3 linked regions of the Arabidopsis thaliana genome follow. The protein of the gene in region 3 interacts with the protein of the main gene of each other region in a pairwise test. Each region holds a gene or a part of one and is shown on either strand. Other genes may lie near its edges. The genes, in order: HSFA2, ROF1 and HSP90.1.

Region 1 (3,753 bases), on a different chromosome or scaffold from region 3:
TCAACAAGTTTGTAAATTTTATGAACTTCAAAATTAAAAGTGTTACATTCAAAGAAATACTTTCTTAGTATCATGACCTCTTTTCTCTAAGAAAGCTTAGCAAAAGTTACTAATTACATAAACTCCTAAATGTTGACCAAAGTGAGTACTAAGATAAGTAGACACGGAGCTTGATACTCTTATCGCAGCTCCATCTCATGCTTCTAAGGTCTGGAGAAGGAAAAACAAACAACCATTAAAATTGTCAAACGAAATCAGAGTTTTTTATTCATCAGAACAAGAAAACACAAATGTACAACAAACCACACTCAATGACTCTTCCTTGAGTCAAAACAAACAAACAAACAATTCAACTAGTAAATAAAAGTGGTAGCATTACCATAACTTAGACCGCAACAAGTAGATGTGTTAATACCGTATAGTTAAGGTTCCGAACCAAGAAAACCCATTTGATCAACCATGTCATGTAGATCTTGGCTGTCCCAATCCAAAGGCGAACCAACCAAATCTTCCACTTTCACATCCAACGCTGCTTCCAAATTACCATCTCTCATCATCACATTCATAGCCTCCAAACATTGTTCCTCCTTAGTAGGCATCGAATTATTCGCCTCATCATCGATTGCTGCAGCGAACAACATTTCCATATCATCCTTCATTCTATCAAACTCTTGATCATGTAACAAATTCTCCTCCATAGTCCCCAAGCTTGGAGTAGAAGTAAGCCTCCGTTTCCTCCCCACATCCAAACCAAACAAACTCTTCTTCTCTTTACTCATAACCGCAAACTGCTGAACAAAGTTCGGATTGTTCAACGCCTTGGCAAGGAACGTCATCATCTGCTGCTGTCTCTTCTCAGTAACAAGCAACCGTTGCTCCATAGCTGCAACTTGACTCTTGGAGCTGTGTTGCTGTTGCCTCAACCTAACTACCTCAGCTACAAGCACACCATGATCCCTCTTCAACCTCTCAACCTCCCCGTCGAAACCGTATTGCCCAACCTCAACACATGACATCCCAGATCCTTGCTGATTCACATTCTGCAAACCCATGTTCCTCCTTCTTTTGATGTTCTTCAAGAGATGCTTTTGTCCTGCTAAAAACCCTTCATTTGCAAATTCCCATCTATCTGGATCAATCTTTCTGAATCCCTGCAATCACCAAAACAAGTTTCATCAGCTACTGAACTTGAGGCAGAGTCCTTACTTATCATTCCAAGATTCTGTTTTTACTACCAAACACATTTTGAACTTCAGAAACAGAGGATTGAACAGAGTTTATGTTAAATGATTCTCTTAACATATGACCAAAATCTCAATGCATCTAATTTCAATTTAGCCACTTAAAAGCTTAAAGAACTAACCTTTATAGCTGAAGACTCATAGGAAACCCATCTAAAGAAATCCAAAATTAAAAATTAGAAACAAAAACAGAAACAAGACTAAGTAGATATAAGGAAGCAAAGAGGTACTTACATAAGTATTGAGCTGACGAATAAAACTTGAGAAATTGCTATGCTTGAAGTAACGTGGAAGGAGAGTTGTTGAGAACTTATGAGAATCCCACACCACAAAGCTGTTACGACCATTACTCCAAGAAACCACCGTGTCCGTCGCCGGATCTTCCACCATTTCGTAAGTCTTAGTCAGAAACGGTGGTGGCCCTGTTTCGTTAAGCCCTTCCATTGGTCTAGGAGAGGAAGAGGATCCTACAGATGAAGAAGCCGCTACAGAACCAGTAAACGTCACCGTTTCTTCCTCCATTTCCACTTTCAGTTCTTCCATTTTCGTTGTTTATCTCAAATCCATAAGCTCAGAGATAAGCTAGATTGTATGAATTTCGTAACTTTCGAGAAACAAAAGTAGATATTTTTGATTTTGTTGCTAAAATTAGAAACTGGGTTTTGGGTAAAGTTTGCGACTTTCTTCAGAAAATGTTGAGTTTTGAGTTGAGAGATTGAGGCGTGGAGGAGAGAGAAATGAAATTATAAGGGGAGAGAAGAGAAGGTTCTAGAGACAAGACAAGATCATTTCACTGTATTGAAGCTTCTTTGACATTTATGTGAGCACGTGGCGACAAGACAAGACAATGTTCCAGAAACTTCGTTACTAATCTAGAATCTCTTTTTTTATATATATATCATATGGGCCTTTACTTAAGCCCATTTCTAACGATGCCAATTTATGTTCTAGGTCCTTCTTTTTAATGTGGGCCGCCAGAAAAAGCCTACTAAAATGAATTATTGGGTATGTCCAAGGGTATTTATGTACTTAAGAGGCGACCTACATATCTCGTGCGTGTCTCCACCTGCTGCACAATTTTTCTCTCACCCGATAACCAAACAGGTCTCTCACGTGTAATTTAGTGTTTTTAAGACTTTAGGGAATAAGATTAGAACGGTTCTTCCCCAAACACAACGAAGAAGTCTTTTGTTTCCGATATAGATCGAGGAACTTCGATTTATCAGACATTAACACCAATTTTTAAGATATCGTGAAGGAGAGATTTGATTGATGGCTTGGAGGCGCATCATCACCAAGGTTTTTGTTTCATTTTTCTCTTTTCCCCTTTATCCAATTTTTAATACGAAAAAGGTTTCGACTTTGGTTTGATACTGTAGTGGATTTGATCTAATTAGATAATAATTTCTGATGGGTTTTATCAAGATCTTTGTGATTCATAAGCTAAAGATGATATTTTTCAAACCCTAGAAGCTCAAATTCTTCTCTGCCCTCAAAATGTTGTCTTTTAGGATTCTAGATTGTCTCTGTGATATTGTCATTTGATTTATTTGACTACCCAAGTCACCTAATTTTGAAATTGGTATAAAAAGTTTCAATTTTTTTGATTCAAAATGGGTAAAAGTATTCACTTTTATCAAAATGTTTTCATGTGTTGTCTAGTGTCATTTTGAGTTTGGGATTAGTAATTAACTTCATCTGTATTGATTCTCTTCACCGATGACAGGTTTCGAGTCATGAAAGGGAATTGAGCAGTTTAAGAAGCTTACTTGTTAGAGCTTACTCCTCTTTTCCTAGAGTGGGAGTTACTGGAGGTAAATTCTGATTCCGTTTATGAGTTGTTCTTGTTGTTTTAGAAGTGTTTTTGATGTAAATTGGTTTTATTTTATCTATAGCTGTGGGTGGTGGTGGAGCTTCTTTACCGCGAACGAGGTTTCAATCGAGTTATGTTGGTAGCTTTGCTCGCAGAGTCCGTGATAGAGAAGAAGTTAATGAGGTTGCACATCTGAGAGAACTTATTCGAAGAAATGATCCTGAGGCTGTTATCAGAATGTTTGAAAGCCAACCTTCTTTGCATGCGAATGCCTCTGCGTTATCGGAATACATTAAGGCATTGGTTAAAGTTGATAGGCTCGATCAAAGTGAGCTGGTTCGAACATTGCAAAGAGGTGGGTAAGGAGGGAGAGACTGTTTGTTTGAATCTGAATGGATACTTGGATTGTGTCCTTGCTTTCATATTTGTATTAGCAGCTTCTGAGCCATTTCTCTATATAATATTGGGAAATGTTTTGCTGTTTTTCTTTTAGGTATTGCTGGTGTTGCAAGGGAGGAAGAGACTTTTGGAGGTCTTGGGGCATTTAGAAACGTAGGAAAACCAACAAAAGATGGTGTCCTTGGAACTGCTAGTGCACCGATCCATACGATATCCACAGAAAGGACTCACTTTAAAGAACAGCTATGGAGTACAATCCGAACTATTGGAGTTGGTTTTTTACTCATTTCTGGTATTGGA
Region 2 (3,753 bases), on a different chromosome or scaffold from region 3:
AAAATACTAGGAACTGTGTAGTTACCTTCATCTGTTTTGAACTCAAACGGTTCCTCATTCTCACCATGACCTTTCTTCAAAAATACAGTACCATCTTGAAGTTTCCCTATCAATTTCACTGCCAGAAAGAAACAAATGAAACCCCGTAAGAAACCGTTATATCTGGTGAAGACATGAGTGTACTAAAATCCGAAATGCAAACCTTTCACAACTGCCCCCTCGTTAGGACGCTCATATCCATCCCCTTCCTTCAAGACTTTCTTCACAACCTTGTTATCATCAGTTACTTCTGACACTGTTTTCCACGAAACTAACTCCAAATTGATCTCGAGCGTCGCATTAGGAGGAACCGCGCCTTCACCAGCAGAGGCTGGCTTGCCCTTCTCCCCAAAACCATCTGTCTCATTCAGAAGCACATTGGAATAAGAGATGATATACACACCATACCAGGATCAGTGAAAAAACAATTGAGACAAATCGTCTTACATTGTGGTTTAACTGTCAGAAGGACCTTTTCACCCTTTTTCATAGTTTTCACAGCCTTAGTAAGTGCAGGGCAGAAATGACCTATTAATGATCATAGATCACAAAGAATGTCAAAGAGCGAATACATTATCCAACATATCCCATCATATCTTAAAAGAATTCAGAGCACTAACCATCTTTAACAGTGAACTCCACACCATCAGATTTCCCAACAACAGTACCATCCTCAAGTTTCGCCTCAAACTTAACTGAATTAACAAATACACAGGAAACACCGTTAGCAAAATCAAACACACACCAACCTCTAAAGCAGGCCATAAGAGAGTGAACACACACCAAGAACTTCATCAAGGTCCTTTGGATTCTCCCACTTCTCTCCAACAGCAAGAATCTTCTTAAACACACCACCATCTTTACATATATCCTTCACACTGTCCCATTTAAGCAACTCCACATCAAACTGAAGCGTAGCATTCGCAGGAATAGTTGGCGGGGAACCAGATTCCCCATATGCTAGCTCCGCAGGTATAGTGAAAACAGCGTTTTCACCTTTCTTCATCGTCTTAATACCAATATCCCATCCTTTAATAACTTGACCTGCAAAAACACAATGCCAACAACCACAAACCATTACACATTCATCAACAAAAATTCGATTTTGAACTTAACAACAACTATATCTCAATTCAAGTTCATATCTATCAAATTAGTCTACCGAATTCTCCAGATTACTAACTATACGGAAACTATTAGGTCTTTAGGAGATGAGAATCACAAACCTTGTCCAAGAGTGAATTTGAAAGGCGTTGCTCTATCACGACTCGAATCAAACTTCGTCCCATCAAGCAAAGTTCCAGTGTAATGCACTGCAGAAACAAATCAAGCTCAAGCTTCGATTCAAAAAAACCTAAATCGAAAAGCATTAGTATCTGAATCGATTAATTAATTACCTTCAACTTCATCGCCATTCTCAGGAGTTTCATATCCTTCACCTTCTTTAAGAAGCTTCTTCTTCAAACCTTGTTGGATCTCTTTCTCTTCACCGACTTTAAGAAACGAGGCGCCGTCACCGAAATCCATGTCGTCGTCGTCGTTCATTCCACCGACTGGAGGCATCTCGAAATTAGCATCCATCTTTTTCGATTCAGTTCCAAACAAAAAACGCAAAGAAGAAGAGAAGAAATGGATTGGTGAGATTTATACGAGGTTGGGTTTTGGGTGAAAAAGAAAAAGGGTTCTAGAGAGTTCGTTAAAAAGATGGTTCGAGAACACAGATGATCCGTCACTCGTAAATTTATATTGGGCTTAACTATTCACTTATTTACTTTATAATCGGCAAAATTGTTGGATCAGGCCCAACAAAATTGGTTATCTAGTAAACAACTAAACATGATCCCAAATTATTACCAATGGTAAAAAGTAAAAACTAATCAAGCAAAGCAAAATGGATTATCACAGTACAAATCCAGAACAAATTCAAATCCATTTGTGGTCTTTCAAGATTTTTTGCTTACAAATTATTAAAAATTCTCTAGGTATAGATGGATACGTTGCAAATAAATAAATCTAGAATTGAGTATTAATTATCCCCCTAAATTTTCATAAGTTACAAGCTTGAATTCATTATGTATATATATGAAATTATAATCCATTTGTCATCCTCAATCATATTTTTTTTTTCGTGTTTTGTCTCTTATACACTCACTTTCTTTTAAATCTAATTTACTTTTAATATACTATAACATATATATATATATATATATCACTTTTATTAAATAAAATTGTTTTCTAAAATATCAAAGCTTTGCAATATTGAAGCAATTATTTTTAATATTTTCCATTACAAGATTAACAAAAAAATCTTGAAATTAAAATTATCATCCATCAATCTCAATTCAATTAAAAAAAGCGAAGAGGAAATCAAATCGTGAGAGATATAAAGAAACCGTTTTTCGCAGGAGAATAGAGGAATTGGATTTGTGAGTCTTTCTACATGAGGTTGAGTTTTAGGTTACGGAAGATTCTAGTCTTCTAGAGAACTCCTTAAATCATTTATTCGAAAGGTGATGACAGAGTTAAGTGACAGAAAGGTGGTTCCAGAACACATATGTTCTTTAGGTTCTAACGTCGTTAAAATTTTTTGCAGGATCATATCATATTCATATGTGTTGACTACGTCGGCAATATCTCTACATTGGGTTTTGACTAATAACTATTCATTTTGTTTTTTTTAACTAATGAGCAAAAGTATCATATAATACATATGTGGATCGCGCCCAACAAGGCTAGTTATATAGTAAAGAGATTTCAAATAGGAAAATGAAATTCACAAATCAAGTTGTTTATGCAAAATAAACCATATCAAACACATTTCAAGGAAAAATACGGATTAAATGGTTCAAAAATATATGGTAACAATAGATCAAATAATTTATATCAAAATATTTGGATTTTTTGCAAAACAATCTTCCAATTCGTTAATTTTTGCAAATTTATCTTATATTTCTCAAAATTACAAATCAATTTTATGCAGTAAAAAATAATACACAATATAATTTAATCCTTATATGTATATTCTAAATGTTTTTACTCTAATATACATTATATTCTAAAAAAATTCTAAAGTTAAATTTAGACTCCTCCTTAAGCTAAATATCTACATATACATTTTGCAGCCATTTTGTGAAATAAATCTTGGAGTTGGTACTTATTTACAATAGTTGCCACTGAATTTTAATTATCTGATTTTTCTTTTTAATTAATAGTTTGAATTTTTTAAGGCAATTAATTGTGTAACAAACGAAAAAGATTCGAAATATATATGACAATCCCATATGTCACACAAAACACAAAAGCACTAACTTTAGGGGAATCATATGAAGACATTAAGCATCACTATTTTTGTGATGTTCATTGAAAGATAGCAGAATACCATATGAAGACATATATGGCAATATACCAATAAAAGATAGACTGATAATCCAGAGGAGGAATTTTCATTTCCAACATTGATCGCCACCTACGCTGAGGTCGAGATCACCGAGGGGAACACAACCGACGTAGATCGATATAACCACCACCGTACAAGACTCATTACAAGAAAAAAAAGGAGAAGACATTTCCACCACACTTCCCAACTTTAGCAAAAGATAATGTTTGAACTAGATGGTTAGGTAGGAAAAAAAAACGAGCAAAAATATGCAAGAAGTAGATGGTCGACTAATTAAATTGCACTAGACTTGGAAGTTGGAACATAAGAGCACATAA
Region 3 (3,753 bases):
TCCTTCAATTGTCCAACAGCGTATTCGTCAATCGCATCCACCATGTAAAGTACCTCGTATCCTCTCTTCTTCAGCCTCTCCAAGAAGGGAGAATTCTCCACCGCCTTTTTGCTTTCACCAGTGATGTAGAAAATGTCCTTTTGACCTTCCTTCATCCTTGTGACGTAATCTTTGAAGCTCGTCATTTCATCACCACTCTTTGTGGAGTGGTACCGTAGAAGATCAGCAATCTTTCCCCTGTTCTGACTGTCTTCATGGATACCCAATTTGAGATTCTTGGAGAAAGCCTCATAGAATTTGGTGTAGTCCTCTTTGTTCTCAGCAATCTCGTTGAACATCTCAATGCACTTCTTCACTAGATTCTTCCTGATCACCTTAAGGATCTTGTTCTGTTGAAGCGTCTCACGAGAGATGTTGAGTGGCAAGTCATCAGAGTCAACAACACCTTTCACAAAGCTGAGGTACTCTGGGATTAGCTCTTCACAGTTGTCCATAATGAACACCCTCCTGACATAAAGCTTGATGTTGTTCAACTTCTTCCTCGTGTCAAAGAGATCAAACGGAGCTCTCTTTGGTACAAAGAGAATGGCCTTGAATTCTAGCTGACCCTCCACTGAGAAGTGTTTCACGGCTAAGTGATCTTCCCAGTCATTGGTCAAGCTCTTGTAGAAAGCAGCATACTCTTCCTTAGTGATCTCTTCTGGCTTCCTCAACCAGATCGGTTTCTGCTTGTTGATGAGTTCCCACTCGTGAGAGACTTCCTTGATTTTCTTCTTCTTTTTACCATCTTTCTCCTTCTCCTCATCAACTTCTTCAACCTCACCTTCGTTTTCTTTCTTTGGTTCATCTTCATCCTCATCGTCACTGATCTCCTTCTCGGTGGTTTTCTCGGTCCAAAGGTAGATAGGGTAACTGATGAACTCAGAGTGCTTCTTCACCAAGTCTTTGAGTCTCCTCTCCTCCAAGTATTCAAGCTGCATGAATAAACACACTTGTAAGAACACAGAAAACACCAAAAGAAAAGAAACAATCCCCAAAACACTCAAAGCTACGATTCCTTACCTGATCGTCCTTAAGGAAGAGGGTGATCTTAGTTCCTCTACCAAGTGGTTCCCCATCCACATCCCTAGTGACAGTGAAGGAACCACCAGCTTGAGACTCCCAAACGTATTGTTCATCATCATTGTGCTTTGTAGTGACAACAACCTTCTCTGCAACAAGATAAGCAGAGTAGAAACCAACACCAAATTGTCCTATCATGCTTACATCAGCTCCAGCTTGAAGCGCCTCCATAAACTCTTTTGTTCCAGACCTCGCAATGGTTCCCAAGTTGTTCACCAAATCTGAAAAAATAATAGAGAGTCATAACCACAGCACATACACTAAAACATCTCACCAACGAGAGATTATTAGGCATTGATTCGTTACCTGCTTTGGTCATGCCAATACCACTGTCAATAATTGAGAGCGTCTTATTAGACTTGTCAGGAACCAATCTAATGAAGAGTTCAGGCTGTCCATCGAGCTTGCTCTTATCCGTTAAGCTCTCAAATCGGATCTTGTCAAGAGCCTACAAAACCATTCATATAAACAAAGATAATCAGAAGCTTTCCTCAATCCTCTAGGGTAAATCAAAGACTACATCGAAGCAAGAACCGTTCTATATATGTAACTACAACACATGAAGATCGAGCACAAGCTAAGAATTCTAAACTTAACGTGATGCACAAGCCAAATCACGATTTATTTGAATAAGCAATCACAACGCTAAACCTACGAATCCAACGCTATCAACGAATCCAGGAATTAAAGAACAAACAACATGCAAGAAAATAGGAAGCGGACGAGTCACACCGAGCAGAGAGAGATTTGAAGGGAAACTTACATCAGAAGAGTTACTGATGAGCTCACGGAGGAAGATTTCTTTGTTGCTGTAGAACGTGTTGATGATCAAGCTAAGAAGCTGGTTAATCTCAGCTTGGAAAGCAAAAGTCTCTGCATCAGCCATCTGAACATCCGCCATCGCAACGAACTTTGATTCAACGCAAACGAGAAACGAAAGAGAATGCTAAGAGAAAATTTGGAACTTCGAGAGCGTTTCGAGAGATTTGTGATTGTTTTGTTGATTTATGAAGAAGAGAGGAAAAAACAAAGTGATTTTATAGAGGAGAAATAAAGTTCTAGTCTCTTCTTTTGAAATAAAGGAAAACCAGTGATTTCTGGATTGTTCTTTGAAAACGACGCCGTATTTCGATGAAATCAACCGTTTTTAGCTTTGTGAGCAAACGAATTCCAGAAAGTTCTTTTCGTTTCGAGACTCCACTTGTTTCAATTCCGAATAGGTCTGGCAAAGAAATTTCGCCGGTTCAGTGTGAACTGAATGAAATTATGGTTAAATATAAACCAACTCTCATTTGTCTTCTTCACCAATAGTCATTACAAGAACACTTGCCATCTTCAAACCGATGAAACCGATTATTATCTCTCACAATGATCACTCGTCTCGTACATACGGACATGAACTTGATCGCGTTATGGCAATCACCGCAAACACGCAGATTCTTCATTACTCGGATCGGTCTATCAGCTGGAAACGTGATCAGTCCAAAAGCAATAGCTAATCTCTCACTATGATACCTTATGGTTTGATTCTTCTCGTCACCATCCACTTCTCTCAGAACATAGCTTGTGTCTGCAATGTAACCCGCTTTCTCCATCTCTTCCCCTAACTCAGCCAGCTTCTCATATATCTCCTTGCTTTTCTCATGACGTCTTTCTCCAGCTGCAAATGTATGAACCTTGTTCCTTTCTTCAACCCAACTTAGCCCTGTTTCCTTCTTTTCCCCTCGGTCTCGAAGCAATTTTCTAGCTTTAGCTGCGTCTTCGAATCTACCATCGGCTGCATAAGCATTGGATAACGAAATGTGCATACCGGAACTCACTGGTCCTAATTCGAAGACCTTGTCTGCTGCAAATGCTGCAAGCTCTGTGTTCTTGTGGACTGTACAACTCGTTAATAAAGCTCCCCATACAGATTCCGTGGGATCAATCGGCATATTAGTGATAACTTCAAGTGCTTCTTGTAATCTACCAGCTCGTCCTAACATATCCACCAAGGAAGCGTAATGCTTATCCGTCGGCTCAATCCTCGATTCTTTCATCTGATCAAAGTAGTATCTCCCTTCATCAACTAGACCCGCGTGACTACAAGCATTGAGCACATTCAAAAAAGTTATGAAATTTGGTTTCATTCCAGAAAGCTTCATCCTTTTGAACAATTCAATAACCTTTTGAGTATGTGAATGTTGCGCATACGCCTTGAGCATAGCGTTCCAAATCCCGAGATTCTTCACAGGCACCTCGTTAAAAACTTGATAAGCTCCTTCAGGAACACCACACTTTGAATACAACGAGACTAAAGAACTTCCCACAAAGCTAGAAGAATCAAAGCTAGACTTAATACTCAATCCATGAATCTGTCTACCTAACTCAAGTAGAGTCGAATTTGCACAAACACTAATAACACTCGAAAACGAGTAATCATTAACAGCGAGATTCTCAAACAAAGCTTCTTTAAACAACCACAAAGCTTCCTCATTTTCACCCATTTGTGCATACCCATACATCATCCCACTCCAAGTAACAACATTTCTCTGAGGCATTTCGTCGAACATCTTCCTCGCATAAACAATTTCTCCACATTTCGCATACATATCAACCAAAGAACTCCCCACAAACACATCAGCATCATAC

Evidence for each region.
Region 1: the proteins of HSP90.1 (region 3) and HSFA2 interact in a protein complementation assay, tested with the Arabidopsis thaliana proteins (one study listed by BioGRID).
Region 2: the proteins of HSP90.1 (region 3) and ROF1 interact in binary tests that used the Arabidopsis thaliana proteins (3 or more experiments, as listed by UniProt).

What each region holds. Positions count from the first base shown.
Region 1 is NC_003071.7:11,133,887-11,137,639, reverse strand, and holds the start of HSFA2 (heat shock transcription factor A2), read right to left. Parts: upstream 2,017-3,753; 5' UTR 1,785-2,016; coding exon 1,476-1,784; intron 1,395-1,475; coding exon of another isoform or gene 1,364-1,394; intron 1,152-1,363; coding exon 423-1,151; 3' UTR 1-422. Other genes in the region: ftsh4 (FTSH protease 4), read left to right, coding at 2,514-2,540, 2,968-3,055, 3,137-3,409, 3,548-3,753. UniProt on the Arabidopsis thaliana protein: Transcriptional activator that specifically binds DNA sequence 5'-AGAAnnTTCT-3' known as heat shock promoter elements (HSE). Seems to be involved in other environmental stress responses.
Region 2 is NC_003074.8:9,186,124-9,189,876, reverse strand, and holds the start of ROF1 (rotamase FKBP 1), read right to left. Parts: upstream 1,697-3,753; 5' UTR 1,621-1,696; coding exon 1,437-1,620; intron 1,353-1,436; coding exon 1,266-1,352; intron 1,084-1,265; coding exon 823-1,083; intron 735-822; coding exon 660-734; intron 568-659; coding exon 487-567; intron 398-486; coding exon 203-397; intron 119-202; coding exon 26-118; intron 1-25. UniProt on the Arabidopsis thaliana protein: PPIases accelerate the folding of proteins. It catalyzes the cis-trans isomerization of proline imidic peptide bonds in oligopeptides.
Region 3 is NC_003076.8:21,350,812-21,354,564, reverse strand, and holds the start of HSP90.1 (heat shock-like protein), read right to left. Parts: upstream 2,009-3,753; coding exon 1,886-2,008; intron 1,571-1,885; coding exon 1,429-1,570; intron 1,344-1,428; coding exon 1,063-1,343; intron 975-1,062; coding exon 1-974. Other genes in the region: MEF1 (mitochondrial RNAediting factor 1), read right to left, coding at 2,424-3,753. UniProt on the Arabidopsis thaliana protein: Functions as a holding molecular chaperone (holdase) which stabilizes unfolding protein intermediates and rapidly releases them in an active form once stress has abated.